Linked DNA regions of Schizosaccharomyces pombe. The protein of the gene in region 1 binds, or shares a complex with, the protein of each later gene. Each region holds a gene or a part of one and is shown in the gene's direction. Other genes may lie near its edges.

Region 1 (10,116 bases):
TTGTCAAACTGTTGAGTCATTGACGGAATAATTGTAGTATCAGCAACAGATGAATCCGTCGACGTAAAGAACGATCGTACAAACGATTTCATAGACTTGTTGTCTCTTTCCGTAGGTCCGTTAACAGTATACTTGCTCGAATCCTGGATTCCCGTAGGAATATTATTTGATTGCTGTTCCAAGGAGGCTTTGGGAGTTATAATCTCTTGCCAAAACGCATCGTCGAAAACCTTGTCTCTTACGTCAGAGGGAGCGTGAAGATAGGCAAATTTCAGGGCTGTATCCCCCTTCAACCTAAGTTTATATGTGATTTTTCCAATCAATTTAAGCTTATCCATAGAAGAAAAATCTCTTTTTAAAGGCTCCAGTCCTTCCGGCAGATAGAAAACTTCTTGTGTAGCAAAAGTCACGATCGTTTTCCAAGTAGAACCCGGGAACGACCTATAGGTATCCAAAGCAGTTAATTTATCCTTCTTGGAGAAATCCTTTGTAAAAAATTTAACTTTGGAAATTTCAGTGGGAAACAGATCAGGAAATCTGTCAAAGATGAGAGCCATTCTATTCAGGAAAGCGAGGTAATATTCAAGTTGTACATGTAGCGAGCCTTTCGGAGGGTTATAAATGCATTGCTTGTGAATCATATCAATCAATATGGGCGTAGAAGTGTAGTATTTGTCCAAGAAATGTATCAGTGTTGCAGGGAACCATCGCGCATACAAAAGCAGCAAAATAGTCGAGCTTGGGCTTAAATTGTTGTACAAATCCTTGTAAGATTCCTCGATATCTTCATTTATATGAGATGCATGCGCATCATTATAATGTGAAGATTTTCTTTTCATTGTGTTCAACCAACCTTACGCGCGCGCCTTATTTCCGAATGTTGTTTACGTCTCACAAAACAAGTCAACGTGACAATTGGCCTACAAAGTAATGGTAGTTGTCCAAAATTTTGTAATTATATATTCTTCAAAAGTAGATTCTTCCAATTTCCCAAATCCGTCCCTCCACGATGGAGTTGGTAAATGGAAAAGCTATGTATTTCATTACAACCTATACATCGTATCCATGACCTCATGGGCTAGTTTAGGATACGAACGCTGGAATGCGCCAAAATCGCTTAGTGAAATTGAAGCCAACATCCTTAATTTAAAAGGCTTGAATTGGCTCAAATATGCATATAAACGGTGCTGCTTCTCAATCCTAATTAAACAATTATTTGTAATTCAATTTATATTTTATCAATTTCTCTTCATTGGGAACAAGACCTGATACTTCTTTTGTTTTCTGATCCTAAAAAAACGGGAAACTGCGACTGGTTTTCCAGTCCTCGATTTCTCCGAATTGTATCTTAGACGAGAAATTCTCTCATAAATTCTTGGAAAAGCAGCTGTGTAATTTTACACGCACTGTCAAAACCGATTTGGTCGTAGAACTACTCGTTCGCTCCGTTATAAACAAAAGAAAGTATATAGCGTATGTTGGCGGAAATCTTATAAAATTATATAAAAATACATGTGTTATTTATAAAATACGATATCAGTTAAAAATAAAAACTAATTCGCATGTAAATAATAACGAAAACCCCTGTTTTCTGCGTATATATATATATTTTTTTTTTCAATTGAAAGACTATCAAATACATGTCAAGATTTTTCTTCTAATAACTTGGAGAAGGAATCTTGTTGAAAAGATACTATTTATTTTGAACGGGTTAACTCTCATTTGTTTGATATCTATGGACTTTGCTCATGCACATCGTACAAAGCCGTTTATATGGTAATGCTTTAACTAAACGAAATTAATCTCTTTTTTCCAAAGATGCTAAAGAACTTTTATTTATTTTCACATTCGTTCGGCAAGTAGGTAATTTCCGTCATAATTCTATAAGAGGCGAATATGCAATTGTTAATATATTTACATCTTGTCCTTTCACACTTCAAATAATAAATAATAAAGCAAGATTAAAAGCAAGAAATACAATTGAAAAATCGTAAATATATACAGAGATTTTGTCTTCGGTATGGCCTATTCCACATTGAAAATTTCGCAACCCGGTATGGTGGCTACAATATTAGTTACATTCAAAGTGTATTTGTTGAATCTTTTGTGCACAGTATATGGATCTGAAATTTCATTCTCATTCACTAGAGGCATCATTGGTAATATTGAATCCCTGGCATGTTATATTGGGCTTTGTTTTTTTGTTTATGGTATGAAGGGATAGGATTAAAGGCTTCGTTCAAAAAATATATCTAATGTACAGTAGGTATTCTGCAATCAAATTTTGAGTTTGTAGTCTGGTGAATTTATCGCACCATCTAATTGAGATCGACAATTATCAAGGGAGCTTTCACATAGAGTATTAAGAAGCACTAGAGATATGGGTCAAAGCATGTATGGTTTTTTGTTTTCTTTATTCATTTTTTCAAAGTTTAAATTTAAATGGAACTTTTTAAGGCATGTTGGCACCACCGATTTGCAATTCAAAATTGAACCAAATTAGCAACATTTTGGATTGGCTACTGTTAATCAACCTTTAGAGCCTGCAGAAAATTTATCCAGAAATGGAGTACATGACTTCTCCATTGTCATTCAAAATTAACAAGCGAAAAAACCAAATACCAACATGTGCTTCTAGAATGGGTTATGGGTTATCGCGTTCTGAAAGTTGGCTGGAGACTCAATCTTTTTTAATTGACCTTGTTTATCTAATGAGCTCAAGTTTAACCATTATTAAAAAATGAATGCTCGAATGCAAAGGTATTTGGTTCCTTACTTTATTAATTTTGCGAGAAGCTTGTTTATAGGCATTCTTTGTACCGAAATCAAAACCCGATAGTCAAATATAATAGTTTTTAATCATTATAAAAATGGCGATGCGACTAATTGTGTAAAAAGTTTTTCTATGGACAATCTTACTGTTGTTTCATTTCTTTTATTATTATAGAGCAATTGAACATACTATTGTTTTTTAAAAACGCTCAACTTTCTTATTTAGACACAGATGGGTTAGACTCCGTGCTGCACACTGATACAAAGTCAGCTACGCAGTTTGGTATCTGCTTTAACGATAACATAGAACTGCGGTAATTTTTCCTTGTTAACGTATTACAATACACAGGTATTACAAGTAGCAATTGAGTATAGGTATTAAATTATCTAGATTGCATTGTGACCTATAACTAATATAGCTTATAACTGAAGTTCATTCCTCAGTTCAGTTGCAGCTCAATTTATAATCTTTTTAGTCTTCATTAGCCAGCGTCTATGTAAATATGAAAATGGTTTTGCGCATTTATCAATAAACTGCTCTAAAGTAATATCCTAACATATGACATATAGTGATACGTTACGTGTTCTTCATTAGAGCAGTGTGTTGTTAACACCGTATTTCCTTTACGGGGCGATTCTCCGTTTCTTTAAATTTTGACTTCTGTAAAGGAGTGCGATTCAACAACCTGGTCGAAATACAAACTGTTATAACATGAATTGGCATTGCTAGTTTGGATTGTTGTTTGAAAGTTGATTTGTATATTATAACTTTAAAATTACTTTGTACTTGATACCTTTTTCAAATTTCAGAGCTTCAATTTTGCTCTGAAATTGAACACATCGACTTTATATATTTATTGCTCATTACTAAAAAACATTCAGTTTTATATTCTGAGTTCGCGGTCGTCTATTATTTTAGTCCTTTAGCAATTGTCATATTAACATAAACCCTCTCCTTATTTTATTTTTTAAATTCGTTCAGGCATCATTTGGAGGGTTTGCTAAAAATCATCTCACCAAACAAGAGGTTATTAGTTTTGCGAATGTCGCCTAAACAAGAGGAGTATGAAGTTGAAAGGATTGTGGACGAAAAATTGGATCGTAATGGAGCTGTCAAACTATATCGCATTCGATGGTTGAACTATTCATCTAGAAGTGATACTTGGGAGCCCCCTGAGAACCTTTCTGGATGTTCTGCCGTTTTAGCAGAATGGAAAAGGCGGAAGAGGAGACTAAAGGGAAGTAACTCCGACTCGGATTCACCGCACCATGCGAGCAATCCACATCCAAACAGTAGACAAAAGCACCAACATCAAACTTCAAAGTCAGTGCCTCGTTCTCAAAGATTTTCGCGGGAATTGAATGTAAAAAAGGAAAATAAAAAGGTTTTTTCTTCTCAAACTACCAAGAGACAATCTCGAAAACAATCCACCGCTCTGACGACGAATGATACTAGTATCATTTTAGACGATAGTCTTCATACAAATTCAAAGAAGCTGGGGAAGACGAGAAATGAAGTGAAGGAGGAATCTCAAAAAAGAGAACTAGTTTCCAATTCTATTAAAGAAGCTACATCCCCCAAAACATCTTCAATTCTCACAAAACCGCGAAACCCTTCCAAACTTGACTCTTATACCCATCTAAGTTTTTACGAAAAGAGAGAGCTATTTCGTAAGAAACTGCGGGAAATTGAAGGACCCGAAGTAACGCTTGTCAATGAAGTTGACGATGAACCCTGTCCATCTTTAGATTTTCAATTCATTAGCCAGTACCGCTTAACACAAGGTGTTATCCCGCCTGATCCAAATTTTCAATCTGGATGCAATTGCTCGTCCCTTGGCGGTTGTGACCTTAACAATCCTTCTCGTTGTGAGTGTTTAGATGATTTGGATGAGCCAACTCATTTTGCCTATGATGCACAGGGGCGGGTCCGTGCAGATACGGGTGCCGTTATATATGAATGCAACTCTTTTTGTTCTTGTTCAATGGAGTGTCCTAATCGCGTTGTTCAACGTGGTAGAACTCTTCCGCTTGAAATATTTAAAACAAAAGAAAAAGGATGGGGTGTACGTTCGCTTCGATTTGCCCCTGCTGGCACGTTTATCACTTGCTATTTAGGAGAAGTCATAACTTCAGCAGAGGCCGCCAAGCGTGACAAAAATTATGACGACGACGGTATTACCTATTTATTTGATTTAGACATGTTTGATGATGCTAGCGAGTATACAGTGGATGCTCAGAACTATGGAGATGTCTCTCGTTTTTTTAACCACTCCTGTTCACCTAATATAGCTATTTATTCTGCTGTTCGGAACCATGGATTTCGAACCATTTATGATCTCGCTTTTTTTGCCATCAAAGACATTCAGCCTCTAGAGGAGCTTACATTTGATTACGCTGGTGCAAAAGATTTCTCACCTGTTCAATCTCAAAAATCTCAGCAAAATAGAATTTCAAAACTTCGCCGGCAGTGCAAATGTGGTTCCGCTAATTGTCGTGGCTGGCTTTTCGGTTAAGCTAATTTATTACTGGTTGACTCCAATAATTACAATTTGTTTTTCTCCATTACTGTTAAACTGAAAAAGGTCATTCATTTTCTAAGCAACGAGATTATGTATATTATCTGACCTGTGGGATTTGCCGAACAATTATCGGTAAAACATATCGGTGCTTATATTTTTTACACTTGTTGAAAGCATTATAGTAATTGTTGTAAAGCCTAGCGTTAATGGAAAAACTCTTTTCATCTGCTGCGCACATGTGAAGTAAAAAGGGCGTTTAAGCGTTAACGGTAATGGACCGTCCTTCAGAAGCTATAGAAGGAGCTGCTTCTGTTTCGAGCACCTGGGGCATCTGATTGTTTTCTCCTTCTGCTGAGGCGAGGGCATCAGTTGTTTCTTCAGCTGGGTCTTCTTGTGCAGCTGTTCGAGGCGTTGGAGTTGTTGTAGGAGTTAAGGGAGTTTCCGGTTTTATTGTGGTTTTTGAGAACTGGGAAATTTCTTTTAGTCTCCCGTCTTTATCAAACTTCTTATGCACTTTTTTTTGCACCAAACCTGAGAGCTTCTTTGAAAGGTTGGAAGGAAATATCTCAAATCCTGCCTTAGCAAATTCAAGGGAAGGATCTGCCTGTAAAGTTTTAACACTTTTGGTAGGTTTAGCATACTTGTGAAGCTTAAAGCCGAATACTCTCTTGTTGCCTCCTTTTTTCTTCTTATGATGCCGATGATGCTTTTTTCCGGCTTTCTTAGACGTTCTATCTTCATTGCTGACAACACTCTCTTCATTAGTAGCTGCAGTGGAAGGGTCTTGATCGTCTGCAGTAGGGGTCGCAACATCGGGAAGTGCTATATCAGGAAGTGCAATATCAGTCTCTTCTATGAAAGCTTGTTCAACTGATTGGGCTGTACCTTTAACATCTTCTTCAATGGCGTCTGCTATTTGACCGATGGGGGTTCCGTTATCATTTTGAGTAGAAGCTTGCTCAACATTTTGAGTTGATGTTGATTCTTCTGCCGGACCTGTGGCTGGTTTTTCTTCTGATGCGGGAGCCACTTCTTCCGTAGTAGCAGGAAAATGTTCTTCAGTGGTGGGAATTTGGTTAGTTTCATTCTCAGGAACTTCGACTGATTGTGCTTCAACAGTAGTATCAACCGGGTCAGCTGACGTTTCATTATCAATGGGACTAGCCGTATCGTTTTGCGGAGTTTTCCCCTTAATCATGTTTTGAAAAAAGTCAAAAAGACCGTCTTTGGCAACAGAATTGTTTTGTTTTCCGCCATGAGATTTACTAGATGACTTTTTCGCGTCCCGTCCGTTAGAAAGCATTGGAAGGAAATAACGAAATGTTTCACTTGCTGAAGGACCTGAACGAGCTGCTAACTTGCCGAGTCTTTTAAGCGTGTCATTGTAAGCACGAAGCTCTTTAATTTTATCTTTGGTTTCCTTTTTCTTAGCAATGGCATTTTTGAGATCAGTAATCCATGTATTTTTACTTTCTGGGTCTAGGGCTTCAAGTGTTTCTGATTTACCATTGTTAAAATTGATGGTGAATTTGTTTCCAGTACCGGGTTCTATGGATACTGCATCAGTCTGAAAATACAGTTAGCACGGTTAAAACTAAAAATCAGGGGAATTAGGAATTCTTACCAAATTAATGATTCCGCTTGGGACACTAGTTGATTGAGATTTGGAGTAAAAGAGTAAACCACGGCAGTCTTGAGTAGCTTTAGCGATACGGTTAAGGTGATCATTAGCAGACTGGAAGAGGGAATCAGCATCAGAGTCGTGCATTTGCTCAGAAGCTAAGGAAGGTTCCGTTGGGTTACCTTGCAAAGTACCATGGAAGTGTTTTTTATAATAATGGTCTAATAAATCCATAGACATAGGGCCTTCTAGCATATAAAAATACCTTTTCATGACATGACTACATGTGGTTAGTAAGATTACTCAATCGATTGTTTGATTTTTAATAAATGGATGCTGTTTTGACTTACGGAATAAGTCCGTTGGATCGACAGTATAAATACCCACCAGTGGTGTAGGTCAATGGTTTTTCATCCTTGGCTTTCTTCTTGGATTTTTTTTCTTCAACCTTGGGAGCTGCCACGCTGTTTGGATCATCATCTGCAGGATCGATATTGTCGACTGTTTCAGGCTCCTTGGGTTCCTCAGGTGCTTGTACTTCTGCAGGAACAGCGTTTTCAGTGGCATCATCATTGTCGGTTTCGTTGCTCAATGGCACCTCCAGTGTCTCCACCTGGGCCTCAGCAGATCCCGAATCATGTTCATTGTGTTCCGACACATTTTCGAAAGTAGGTTCAGCAATCTGCTCAGGTCGTTCTTCACGGCCCTCATAAGACATGATAAGAAGTCGAAAACAACAGTTAGGCTCTCAATTTTGGATTTTTTTTATGCTGTAAATATTTGTGGTAGAGGAAAAGTCTGCGCCAAGCTGGTTATTTGAATACCAATTGTTGGCGAGAATGTAAACAAACAAATCGACTACCTAATATACAAACAAACGATGGACATCAATAGAAAAGGGAAAATACATAGAATTTACTTTTTAAATGTTAAAAAATTTCTACTAATTCATTCTTATTAATAAAATCTTCAACGGCCATTAAATCTTGTATTCGCTCATTCGTATCAAAACATATACATTCTTCTGGAATCGAGCTGTCTGCGATTGAATGAACTATATAGTATTGAGAGATTTTACAATTAAGTGTTTGTCTTTAATTTCTAATTGCGACTACCATCCTAAAATTTTCATTTGAGTTGAAATCTGTTTAACAACAACAGATGAGCCATATTTTTCATTGACTTTATACATGATTGTCACCATTAGTTCCTTTTTTTATAAAAATTAAATGTTGTTTAACTATTCTGCTCATTTGTTTTGCTTAAAAACTAAGTAGGTTTTAATTGGTAAGAATTTTACGAGATTTTAAATTTTTATTTATTTACTTATTATTTTTGACGAACGCTAGTTTCAAAAAAGCAAATCCAAACTCGAGGTATTTTCAAATTGTTTAAAATTTTCAATAGAATGGAAGGATGTTTTTTAATGCTTTCCACATCTTTGAATTGGAAATTTCCTTTTAATATTTACACTTCTTCCAAGAAAACTATAGCAATTTGTTTCATTATAACGACATAAGTTTGTAGGAGAAAAAGTGTGAGAATATAAAAGTTCCATAATAATACATTATTCTCTATGGATTAATTATTTTTTTTAAATATTTTTTTAAGTTAAAAAGCTGGTCTTTCCATCCATGTAAAAATTGGAAAAGGAATATCGAGAAAGCAAAATAAACCAGGCCCTACCTGCGGAAAGGGATTTTTCTTATTATTCAAGAATACTAGCAGCTTACCTCTAACGATTAAAACAATGTATATTTTTGTTTCAATACTATTTATTTATAAATTGAATAAGTAACCCAACTTACGCCAGGTTATTTTCGCATTTTATGTAAACGCTATAATGCGATAGAAATCGCTAATTTGTACTGGATTGAGTAAGTATGAATATCTGACGTGCCAAAAACCATGAAGCAATTTGAAGAACAAATTGAGTAGGTTTTTATGAATGTCACGTATTATGTATTTTTCTAACAAATTTAGAAGGTTTAAGCAGGCGTTATTTGAAGATTCTGATGGTAATTATTGTCAAAATGAGATTTATAATTTTCACTAACATCTCGTATAGCCTCGGATTCCGACTCTTCCATTGGAGAGGCACTTACAAATCGTGGATTAAAAAGAAAGAAAGGATCGAAAAATGTATATTATGGTTGCGTCGGTAACTCTAGTGGCTCCTCTATAGACATTGATGTATGTGTGAGTAATTGGGAATCGTAAACTGCTAACCACTACTTTATAGTACTATAACATTGGTAATACTAAAAGAGGAGTTGTCTCTCATTTTCGAAGGAGAATAGATCCGGAATGGTTGGACCATGATAACCCATATAACGATATAAACATAGCTGGTAAGTCGTACACACACTTAGTTATGTTAGACATACAATTTTTTTGATTCATTGTGCTTTTGGAGATTTCGTGTTGTGTTTTCAAAGATTGATTATGAATTGAATTGAAATATTAGTTATCAGCACTCGCCAATCATGGTCATATACATCGATCGCTTGCTAACTCAGTAAAAATTATAGAGATCATGTCACCGCTGACAAAACCACAAGACTTGCTCACACATCCTGCTATATCTTCCATATTTGAACAAAATTATTTATCAATCCTTGCTTCTTCTGCTCTTGAAATTATATCTGCTGAACACAAATATACTGCTCATCTCGAACAATTGATGGTTGCACTTTTAGGTGATGACCCATCACTACCAGGACCACCTCATGAAGTGTTTGGGATTTCTCCTGAACAGTGTAGAGAATTGACGATCACAGTTCAAGAAGCTTTGGAAAAAAGCAAGGAGTTTATTAGATGCTGGACAAACGTTCGCATGGACCTTCTTCGGGCCATTCGTTTTAAAAACAAAGTCATTGCTTACTGCCAAGGTGAAGACTATAATGGTAATACCCAAGTTTTGTCTAAAAATGAGAGTGATGGAAAACCAAATTCCTAAAATTTATTGATTTCTCATCAATCTTTTCAATTTCATTATTTTGAAGCTGATGAAGCGTATAAGTCAGCAAAATAAAACGTTGAGAATATTATTCTTTATTCCATTCGATTTACAATTCCTTTTTACGACATTATAAAAATAGAATTATCCTTTTTTAAAACGTCTTTGGTGATTTCTTCTGCAATGAAACTTAATTATTTCTTTTACTTTTTCATAACGTTGGGTTTTTTCTCAAGCTTGGC
Region 2 (5,049 bases), on another chromosome or scaffold:
AGGCTCGTGATATTTCAGGAGAAGAGCTTTCGAGCTATGATGTTGTACTAACGAGTTACAATGTAATTGAATCAGTTTACAGGAAGGAACGCAGCGGATTCAGAAGGAAAAACGGTGTTGTAAAAGAAAAGTCATTACTTCATCAAATGGAGTTTTACCGAATTATACTTGATGAGGCCCATGGTATCAAATCAAGGACTTGTAACACTGCCAGAGCTGTTTGTGGCTTAAGAACGACAAGAAAGATATGTCTTTCAGGAACACCTTTGCAAAACCGTATTGGAGAATTATTTTCACTTCTTCGGTTCCTACGGGCAGATCCTTTTGCTTACTACTATTGCTTGCAATGTGAATGTAAATCTCTGCACTGGAGATTTTCCGATAGAAGTAATTGCGACGAATGCGGCCATAAACCAATGAGTCATACTTGCTATTTTAACGCTGAAATGCTAAAACCAATACAAAAGTTTGGATACGAAGGTCCAGGAAAGCTAGCTTTTAAAAAGGTGCATTCTTTATTAAAACACATTATGTTACGTCGAACAAAATTAGAGAGGGCTGATGACCTTGGATTACCTCCTCGAGTCGTTGAAGTGAGGAAAGATTTATTCAACGAAGAAGAGGAAGATGTATACCAATCTTTATATATGGATTCAAAAAGAAAATTTAATACATATCTTGCTGAAGGTGTCGTTTTGAATAATTATGCAAACATTTTCCAGCTAATTACACGAATGCGCCAAATGGCAGATCATCCTGACCTGGTGTTAGCTAGCAAACGAAAAACAGTTGATATTGAAAATCAGGAAAATATCGTCTGTAAGATTTGTGACGAAGTCGCTCAAGATGCTATAGAATCACGTTGCCATCACACATTTTGTCGACTCTGCGTTACGGAATATATCAATGCAGCTGGTGATGGAGAAAATGTCAACTGTCCAAGTTGTTTCATTCCCTTAAGCATAGATCTTAGTGCCCCTGCTTTAGAAGATTTTTCTGAAGAGAAGTTTAAGAATGCATCGATTTTGAATAGAATTGATATGAATAGTTGGCGTTCATCTACAAAAATTGAAGCATTAGTTGAGGAGCTTTACTTACTTCGTAAGAAGGACCGAACACTGAAGTCGATTGTTTTCTCTCAATTTACTTCTATGTTAGATCTCATTCATTGGCGACTTCGAAAAGCCGGGTTTAATTGTGTAAAGCTAGATGGTGGTATGACCCCCAAAGCGAGAGCAGCTACTATTGAGGCTTTCAGTAACGATATTAATATTACCATTTTTCTAGTTTCGTTGAAAGCAGGTGGTGTTGCTTTGAACCTTACAGAGGCATCTCAAGTGTTTATGATGGATCCTTGGTGGAATGGAGCTGTACAGTGGCAGGCAATGGATCGAATTCATCGTATTGGACAAAAAAGGCCGATAAAAGTAATTACCCTGTGTATTGAAAATTCCATTGAAAGCAAAATTATTGAACTACAAGAAAAGAAAGCTCAGATGATACATGCAACCATAGATCAAGACGAAAAGGCTTTGAACCAGCTTTCTGTCGAGGATATGCAATTCTTGTTCTCAAATTAGAATTTTGTTTTTTTAAAATTAGCCCAAATTTTGGCCGTTTCCTTTTTATATACCTGCCATATCTCCCTTTGCATTTTTTTTGTTATCCTAGTTTTTTGGACCGTAATTCCCTAAGTCAGTATATGCGTTTTGGAAGTTTATTTATTTTTTTGGGGATTCCTATTAATGGATATAATTTATTATTGAGTTGTCAATAGAACGGTTAAAGTTTTTTAAAACAAATTAAACATAGTTAAGATTTTATCGCTTCAATGTAAAGTCATTAACTTACCTTTGACTGATAAATTTGTAATAATAGTAACTCAATAGATAATCATTATATCTTCAATTTTAATATAATATTTTCGATTTTGGAATGTCTTTATACTTTTTGGACTTAGTAAATTCTTTATATCAATCAGTGCCTTAAACTCACTCAGCAACCCATAACTTCTGTTAAACTAGTGAACTTGCACACTGAAGGATTAAAAGTAAAAAGCCCAATAATTTCTCAAACAATTTCCTATTTATGGCATGACTAATAGTTCACCACGGGTGAAAAGAAGAACGGATACGCAATATTTGCATTCCGTCTCTTCTAAATTGCCCAAGGTTGACTTTGACACAAATAACGAAGAATTTTTTGAGGAAGAATTTGAGATTTATGATCCTTTTTATCGCGCAGAGCTACCTTGCCCGAAACCGTCATTATCAATATCGAAGCATTCAATTGCAAAAGTTCCATCAAATGTAAATAAACGATTAGAATTGCAACTTTTACTAACGTCTGGGACATTCTTACCTAATTCACGTCCTTATTTGAGTGAAAGAGTGAGAAAACACACTCATTTACTTTCAAATAGCATTACAGGCGATGATAAACCATCACTCATTCATGTTGATTTTACACCAGAGGAATGCTTTATTTTACAAGAAGCTAAACTAAAATTTGGACCGGTAAACAGTGTTCAGTTCAATGATGCTTATTCGACCCACATTTCTCCAAAACTTCCTGGACGAGCATATGAAGATTGCCAGAAATTTGAAATTGATAACCCCAGCTTGTCTCCTGTGGACAAACATGGGGCCATCATTTTACGAACATACAAGAAGAATAAAAAATTACTTCCAGATTACTTAAAATCCTTTTACAATGCAGGCTCATCTTACTTCCAAAGAGAACAAGTTCATCAACTTATGGACGGGGAATCAGTTTTCTTTTTAAAACCTTGGAAACATTTCAATGAAACTAGTGGGGATACAGTGTGCGTTGCATATAATCCATTGTGCGAAAAATTTGCCTTAGGCAGCACAGCACAAGATGGTGCTTACAATAGACTAGGCAACTTATGGATTGGTGATTTTCACTCAGAAACTATTCAGTCATTGGAAAGCCATTATAAACTTAATCAAGTAGGAGAAAAGGAATACTCTACGATATCAGATTTGTGTTTTTCCAAGGGTAATCTGTTTCTTTATACAGGTGCATTCGACAATGCTGTGAAAGTCTGGGATATGGAAGGAAATTTATGTGGGATTTTTAATGCACCCACAGACTATATTCACAAGCTTGCTCTATCTGATGACGATTTACTTGCAGTAGCTTGCAAAAATGGTTATGGGTATTTATTGAGCACTGACAACTCAACAGGAGAAATTCTCACATCAGCTAATTTAATTTATCCAGAAGCTCTAGAAAAAGGGTACTCTGCATCTTTGATTGAATTTTCCAATTTTTTGGGAAGGTCATCTGACAAAGTCATTATTGGATATGATAGTTTTCATACTTCTAATAACAGAGGATGTTTGGCTCTGTTTGATGCTTCCACTGCCAGCTTCGTTCAAAAATTCAACACCGCTGACGAAGCATTTACCTCCTTATATATGCATCCTTCTCAAGTTGGATTTGTCGCAAGTAGCAATACTTTGAGCAATGGAAGAGTATATTATTTAGACACAAGAATGTATAAGGTTTGTCTCAACTTTACGACAACGCAAAAAGACATTAACCATGCCACCATAAGTAACTCTGGAATCTTGGTAACTTCTAGTGGTACAGATAACCAGACGTTTGTTTGGGATTCGCGTAAACCAGATAAACCTCTTAGCTTGCTTAAGCATGGAAAAACCAAAATGATACATTTTGACGGGGCTAATGAAGAGGAAGTCGATGCAGGTATAAATATGGCACAATGGCAGCCTAAGGGGAATTTGTTCGTTACCGGAGGCAGTGATGGCATTGTAAAGGTTTGGGATTTGAGATTGAACAATCCATTCATACAAAATTTTACGGAAATGAATTCAGCCATAACTTACGGAGGGTTCAGTGAGGATGCTTCAAAGCTAACCGTATGTTGTGTTGGAGGGGACGTCAATATGTACAGTTTGGGGAATGACAATGGTAATAAATTCGGAGAGTTTCGTATTATAGAAAATCGACTTTTAACCTGAATTGAGGTTTAAATACGAAAAGGTATATGTAAAGATGATCAGTCAATGGAGATTCGCGCTAAGAAAAATTTTCTTTATTAGACGACTAGGATACAGAGAAGGTATAAAAGAAATAATGCTCAGCTAGTATGAATATTTAATCGAATTCCTTTTCGTGGGTGAACTGGCAAGAAAATTAAAGACAGCGATCGATCCGAGAAATATTTAAGAACTGAAGAAGGCCAAAAATTTTGCAATGATTCTAAAGGATAATGGAAAATTAAACCTTAATCTCAGTGAAGGTAAAGTCAAGCTGATTATTGAATTGACGTTTACAGCAAGAAAATTTTAATAATATCTAATATGTTTCTTTAATGATCAACTGACTGGTTTGATAACTCAAAAGCAAAACATAGTAACAAACAAATGAGCTTTCACGGTTAAAGGATGAAAAATGTGTTACAAATTAAATTAAAATATCAAACATAGATAAATTTAAGTTTAGCTTAGACCCGAAACTCTTAATGTTAACAGAAATGGAGATTTTTTATGGAATGTTGAATTAACTCTTCAAGCAAACGTAATTAGTTAACTTGAAAACATGCCGTTAACAAAAACCATAATTTAATCATCAACTCACCTTTTCAATTTAAAAAAATGATGAACAACTACCGGAAGCTTTTTTGTTTACAGCTTTGGTGTTTACATATTCATGTACCACTACACTTGGCTGCACCCAGCTTGCTATTCGCGTTACTACTAAACAATATTAATTTGTAAACAATAAATTATGCCTAATACTGAAAGTGAATTGAACGAGGAATTTTCTAATGAATTTAATATTCCTCCACCAACTGAATCCTCTTCAAAGGAGGGAAATAGATTTTTAAACGACTTTCGAGTTGAATTCGAGAAAAGAAGAATAGAAGCGAGAAATAGAATATTAGAGAGTGAGGGAAGGGCCCTTGAGAACAAAACTCACCTGAATGAAGAGGAGATTCGTACAAATGAGCGCGTAAAAAGGTTTCAACGTCGAGTGGATGAGTGGACCGCGTTGGAA
Region 3 (6,416 bases), on another chromosome or scaffold:
ATTCCACCATATTCGCAGATGCTAGACGCTCTTGCTTAGTAGCAACATCTTTTCCATACTTTAAGGATATCCAACAAAATCAAATAACGGGCAATGCCTTTTTGTATTAAATTGTAAGCTACGCAATTTGGTATCTGATTTAAGGATACGTAGAACTGCGGTGAGTTTTCCTTGTGATCTATTATATTACAATACACAGGTTGTATAAGTAGCAACTGAGTATAGGTATTGTATTAACTGAGTTATAATGTTACCTATCACTAATATAGCTCATAACTGAACTGAGGAACGAGGTTCAGCAGTAGCTCTATTTATATTATTCAGATAATATAGATCTTAATAGATTATCATTAAGATCAATCTCAATATCGTATCATACATGGTACGATATATAATTAGAACATGTGACATATAGTGATACGCAACGTAGATGATGCGATGTCGAGATTGATATTGATAATACTATATTAACAGATAGATTATTTGGATAGAATCGATAGAGATACAACTAAACCTCATTTCGCAGTTCAGTTATAAGTGATAGGTGACATTATAACCTAAATAGTACAATACCAGTACTTAGTCATTACTTATATAACCCGGCTATTATAATATAATGGATCATATGCAAAATTCACCAGTTTTTCGTATCGTTAAAGCAGATACCAAACTGCGTAGCTGACATTATACGGCGTTTTGGATACTGATCTACAGATATGTTCCTATAGATATTTATGTAGGTGATTTGAATGGTATTTACATATAAATTGGTTTATTAAATAGCTTATATTTAATTAAAGCTAAATATTGAGAATAATTTTAATATCATATTCTTGACTGAGTACATCTGAGGATAATCATGAAATTCTTCCTCGGTGATCAGTAAACAATGCTTGACTGTTGATTTCCAATATGTAACGTTCAACGATACTTATCATTGTATAGATAGTGAATTTGTAGTATAATTTACTATGTTCCTAATAGTTGAGCGTATCATGAACGAAATATGTCAAAACGCTTCCATTTTAAAAAAAAAGGAGTACTGATGAAAGCAGTAATTGGATTTGGTAAAAAGTAATATAGAAAGTTTTTTAAAAAACTATTTTATGTTTAAGAGACCTTTCAAAAGTTCATGACCATTTCTACGAGAAACTAATCTTTAGTCCAACCTTCGTAAATCTCGCTTATATTAAGCTTGATTTTACTTCGGTATTTATGGATGACGCGAACACTAAACTGGTATAGAAAAAACGCTATTACTTTCAGCATCTAAAGAAAATCATTTATGATAATTTCTATGCTTTCAATTATATCTAAATATTTACATGCTCAATCATTCAAAGCGATGCTACAAAAATATTATGTTTTAGTTGTCGACTCGAATTTCAGTAAAATCCTAACTTTATTGCTAGACATCCGTAGGTTTTCATTTATGCTATAAATCTGTGAATCACCTCGTGATCGGCAAGTTGTTAAAATAATCTTTTAAGTAACTCTAATACCATGCACTATAGTAAAGAAGGTATATATTTCTTTGCGTGCCTAGTTCTTGTTTTCAATAGCAATAGTCGTTATCTCCCATAGCTTTTAATTCTGCTCATCGATGAGAGTAACATATTCCAATATCTTCTCTACATTATCAAATCGTTTTGCAATTATAAAAATATCAATAGCTTTCGATTTCCCCCAATATGGCTAATGCTAAAATTTATAACATTGATGTAGAATTTGGCTTAGTTAAGATGCAAGTTGAAAATGTCTTATGTTTTATGATTATCAGAAAATGTTTTGTGTAGTATCTGATATTAAAAAATGCATATCAACTTTTACAATAAATTCGCTTGCGCAAAATGTATAGAGACTGCATATCTCGTTTCTTCTCCCTGCGGAGTGCCTGTAACTGGCGTCTTGCACTTTCATTCAAAATCGAAATTTTTTGGTAAGGATTTGATAGAGATTGTCACTTGGTAGCATATTTTTTCTATCTTGAATTCCTTTTTCTAGGCTTTTGTGGCTCTTGGCCGTCCACTCTTTATTTTTGTATTCAACTGTTTTTTAATCACATAAGTCTAGTCATAATCTTTTGAACCAACTCAAAGCTTCTTTTTTTTATTTTTTTCTTTGTTAAAAAAAGTCTTTATTCCTTTTATTATATCAGTTTATGGATTTCATCGTGTATGGCTTTATGTGTTCATTCCTTCTGGGCAACGGCGGTAGACACAGCGACTTCATGTCATTTTATATCATCTGAAAACTGCTTAGTTTTATTACAAGCCTTAAAAATTAATATTTATCTCTGTAGTGAGGTTCATGGCTTACAATTCTTTACCTCTATCCCTTTATTTTCTACGGTGAAACATATACGCCCATATCGCCCTCCAGGATTAGATAGAGACTATTTATTTGTAGTTCTCAATGATGATACTTATTTTTCGATTTATTGGGACGAGGATTATCAAAAAGTGATCGTCGACCATCCTCCAGTTCGCTATCGAGTTACATTTCCTTGGAATCGCAACGCGAAAAGCTACTGCCTTGTCGACTTAAGGATGCGTGCTATTTTTTTAAGCATTGACGAAATTTCCATGATATGTATTAGAATCCTTTCTGCCGAAGAACGGTTGAAAACTGGCCGTTCTATAGATAGCGGATTTCCTTTTTCTTTTCCAGTGCATCTCATATATGATATGTGCATTCTCAATGATTCCAGTACCCCAACTCTTGTGGTCCTTCACAGCGATGGCTTAGATTGTTATGTAACAGCTTTTCTTTTAGATTTAAGCTCAAAAAGTTTGGGAAAGGGGATTAGACTATTTGAGCGGGTTAAACCGTCAATGATCATGCCCTTTGGAAAAAGAGGTTTGCTGGTTTTTGAGAGTTTGTTTATTCATTGCATGTATCGCGGTAATTTTGTTACAATCAATGGTCCTTGTACTACTTATATGCATTGGACTCCTTTGAAAGGGCAAAAGATGCATTATATTGTTTGTGATACTAATGGATATCTTTTCGGAGTATATTCGAGTATCTTGGGAAAAAACAAATGGAGCTTGGTTATGGAAAGACTACCAATCCCACCTTTCGACTTTATTACTTCTCTAAATTCCATCCATGAGGGACTCTTGTTTATCGGAAGCAAAAATTCGGAATCTAAACTTATTAACCTGTCTACTTTGAAGGATGTTGACTCAATACCCAACTTAGGACCCATTCATGATTTACTAGTACTCAAAAACGACATTGAAAAAAGTTTCCTTGTATGCGCAGGAACACCAAGAAACGCTTCTTTAATTTATTTTCAACATGCTCTGAAATTAGATATTTTAGGGCAGACGAAAATCTCGGGCATCCTTCGAGCTATGGTCCTACCATCATATCCAGAGCATAAGCTCTTCCTCGGGTTTCCTAGTGAAACTGTTGCTTTTAATATCAAAGAAGATTTCCAGTTAGAGCTAGACCCATCTCTATCAACCAAAGAAAGGACGATTGCGCTTTCAGGGACGAATGGTGAGTTTGTACAAGTCACATCTACTTTTCTTTGTATCTACGATTCTGCAAAGCGCTCTCGTTTAGTTTATATTGAAAAAATCACGAACGCTGCTTGCTATCAAGAATACTCCGCAATCGTTATCAATGGAACAGCATTGGCAATATTTAAAAAAGATACAGAAGTTGCACGAAAAGTTTTTGAAAGTGAAATTTCTTGCCTTGATTTTTCAGCGCAATTTCAAATAGGAGTTGGATTTTGGTCTAAGCAGGTGATGATACTTACATTCTCAGATAATTCGTCAATTAGCTGCGCCTTTCAAACCAACGTTCCATCATTGCCCAGAAATATTATTTTAGAAGGAGTTGGTGTTGACAGAAATCTTCTTTTAGTTTCTAGCGGAAGTGGTGAATTTAAATCTTATGTACTTTTCAAAAATAATCTGGTATTCTCTGAAACAAAACATTTCGGTACAACCCCTGTATCGTTTAGGAGATTTACGATGAATATTGGTACCTATATCATATGCAACAATGACTGTCCACACATGGTATATGGGTTTAATGGAGCACTATGTTATATGCCGCTTAGTATGCCTCAAAGTTATGATGTGTGTCAGTTTCGTGATAACTCAGGGAAGGATTTTCTCATTTCTGTATCATTAGGGGGCTTGAAATTCCTTCAACTTAATCCATTGCCAGAATTGACCCCAAGAAAAGTACTTTTGGAGCATGTTCCGTTACAAGCCATTATTTTTCAAAATAAACTGTTGCTTAGAACACTCGAGAATAGATATGAAGATTACGAAAGTTACAAGGAAAATTATCACTTGGAGTTGGTCGATAGTTATGATGATAATTCGTTCAGGGTTTTTTCTTTTACCGAAAATGAACGTTGTGAGAAAGTTTTGAAGATTAATGAGAGTTCTTTACTTGTAGGAACAAGCATTATAGAACAAGATAAGTTGGTGCCGGTAAATGGAAGATTAATTTTGTTAGAGTTTGAAAAGGAGCTTCAGTCTTTGAAGGTAGTTTCGTCTATGGTACTATCTGCGGCCGTGATAGATCTGGGGGTATATAATGATCGATACATCGTTGCATTTGGGCAACAAGTTGCAATCGTTAAACTTACCGAGGAAAGGCTTATGATAGATTCTAGGATATCACTAGGTTCTATAGTTTTACAACTCATCGTAGAGGGTAACGAGATTGCTATAGCGGACAGTATTGGACGTTTTACGATTATGTACTTCGATGGCCAAAAGTTTATTGTCGTTGCCAGATACCTTTTTGGAGAAAACATTGTGAAAGCAGCATTATATGAAGGAACAGTTTATATAATAGCAACTAATAGTGGCTTGCTAAAACTTCTTCGTTATAACAAAGATGCAAAAAACTTTAATGACAGATTCATTTGTGAAAGTGTGTACCATCTGCATGATAAAGTTAGCAAATTTCAAAATTTCCCAATAACAAATACCAATTCGTTTTTAGAGCCAAAAATGCTTTTTGCAACGGAAATTGGTGCTATTGGGAGTATAGTATCATTAAAAGATAAGGAGCTAGAACTGGAGGAACTTACAAGAAAAATTCGAAAATTAAAATTTTCATACTTGTCATCTATGGACTACGAAAGTATAGAAGCAGACCTCATTTCTCCAGTCCCGTTTATTGATGGAGACTTGGTTATCGATGTCAAAAGATGGGCATCTTCAGAACTTTTCCGATTATGCAGAAGTGTAGAACATAGGGAATCACTCAATTCTTACCAAAAAGTTCAAGCCCTCCTTGAGGAAATACAAAGTTTATGTTAAACGTATTATTGCCTTTTTGCTCTGAGTTATTATCTTACACTTTATGGATCATTGCAAATTTGGAAGTTTGGTTCTAGGACTGTATTATGCATTTGTGAGTAATACAAAAAAAATCTTTTGATTTATAATTATAAGTCACAAGCTGTCGCAACATGGCACTGATAAATACAAGTACATAAAGCTTGGTTAAAAAGTTATCAGTCTCAATTTCTTTCGTAAAATCTTCTTCGAAATTCAAGATATTTGTCATAATTGTTGCATCGCTCATCTATCTAAGACGAGATGACATATATTCTGGATTTCAATAATTAAAATGAAACTATTAAATTTCATATGACAGAAACTGAGCACTTCAACTGGCATAAAAGCTCAAAGGAATTTTTTAAGCTAAAAAATTAAAAAAAAACTTTCTCCATTTGGCGATCACGTGTTGCCAAGTATTTTTGGAGTGTAATTAAACTGGAGAAACTCTAGTGTAATTTCTCTATAGGAAGCTAGGGTCAGAGGAAATTAGGATCTTAAAAATTGTTAGTAGAATAAAACATGAACTAAATGCTTACCTTTGGCAAGCCACTTTTTGATTTGATCTTCAGTTTATGGTCTTTACAGGGGATGGTTTTCTGAGTAAGAATATCTGTAAAACTTGAAGGCACTTCTTTCCAGTGTTCTTTCAAATCTATTTCAACTTTAAACGACGAGGTAGAGCCTTCATTGCTTATGGCTATAATGACTCCTGGACGAGTAAATACATAAACTGAATCGTCAATGTATAGTTGAAAAGATAGCACGTATGTAAACTCTGGGTAGGTCTCAACCAAATTTTGACGCGTGCGTATCATTGAAGAAAGATGTCTAAACATTGGATTGGAAGTATTGTATTTACTTTTCCAAAGACCTTCTCTGTTGTCAGGATCGCTACCACCGTCAAACATCTGTTCTTGTCCATAATAGATAATTGGAATACCGTCCATGAAAATAAGTGCAGTTAATGCGTTAAGAGCCAGCTAAATAAATGTTAAAATATATAAAAAATGCAGGTACTAAATTGAAATATTGTTCAATAGACTTACGGCGATGTCTTTGGTTTCATGAAAAAAGCGAGGAAAATCATGATTT

Evidence for each region. The genes of interacting proteins can lie anywhere in the genome.
Region 2: clr4 (region 1) and raf1 share a complex: the UniProt entries of both Schizosaccharomyces pombe proteins name them as parts of the clr4 methyltransferase complex.
Region 3: clr4 (region 1) and rik1 share a complex: the UniProt entries of both Schizosaccharomyces pombe proteins name them as parts of the clr4 methyltransferase complex.

The regions. Positions count from the first base shown.
Region 1 is NC_003423.3:451,747-461,862, reverse strand, and holds clr4 (histone lysine H3-K9 methyltransferase (Suv39) Clr4), read left to right. Parts: upstream 1-3,452; 5' UTR 3,453-3,815; coding exon 3,816-5,288; 3' UTR 5,289-5,550; coding exon of another isoform or gene 5,551-6,861; 3' UTR 6,862-6,918; coding exon of another isoform or gene 6,919-7,195; 3' UTR 7,196-7,265; coding exon of another isoform or gene 7,266-7,633; 3' UTR 7,634-7,867; downstream 7,868-10,116. Other genes in the region: SPOM_SPBC428.10 (uncharacterized protein), read right to left, coding at 1-839; pleckstrin homology domain protein Meu6, read right to left, coding at 5,551-6,861, 6,919-7,195, 7,266-7,633; Clr6 and Rpd3L histone deacetylase complex subunit Rxt2, read left to right, coding at 8,824-8,849, 8,899-8,933, 8,984-9,108, 9,158-9,266, 9,447-9,874. UniProt on the Schizosaccharomyces pombe protein: Histone methyltransferase which contributes to the establishment of heterochromatin by specifically methylating histone H3 to form H3K9me. Part of the Clr4 methyltransferase complex (ClrC).
Region 2 is NC_003421.2:99,216-104,264, reverse strand, and holds raf1 (CLRC ubiquitin ligase complex WD repeat subunit Raf1/Dos1), read left to right. Parts: upstream 1-2,000; 5' UTR 2,001-2,093; coding exon 2,094-4,010; 3' UTR 4,011-4,549; downstream 4,550-5,049. Other genes in the region: rhp16 (ATP-dependent helicase), read left to right, coding at 1-1,580; protein meu23, read left to right, coding at 4,780-5,049. UniProt on the Schizosaccharomyces pombe protein: Component of the Clr4 methyltransferase complex (ClrC) which contributes to the establishment of heterochromatin by specifically methylating histone H3 to form H3K9me.
Region 3 is NC_003421.2:1,465,997-1,472,412, forward strand, and holds rik1 (CLRC ubiquitin ligase complex WD repeat protein Rik1), read left to right. Parts: upstream 1-1,885; 5' UTR 1,886-2,177; coding exon 2,178-5,300; 3' UTR 5,301-5,784; coding exon of another isoform or gene 5,785-5,817; 3' UTR 5,818-5,860; downstream 5,861-6,416. Other genes in the region: translation initiation factor eIF2B alpha subunit Gcn3, read right to left, coding at 1-10; SPOM_SPCC11E10.09C (alpha-amylase-like protein), read right to left, coding at 5,785-5,817, 5,861-6,304, 6,371-6,416. UniProt on the Schizosaccharomyces pombe protein: Component of the Clr4 methyltransferase complex (ClrC) which contributes to the establishment of heterochromatin by specifically methylating histone H3 to form H3K9me.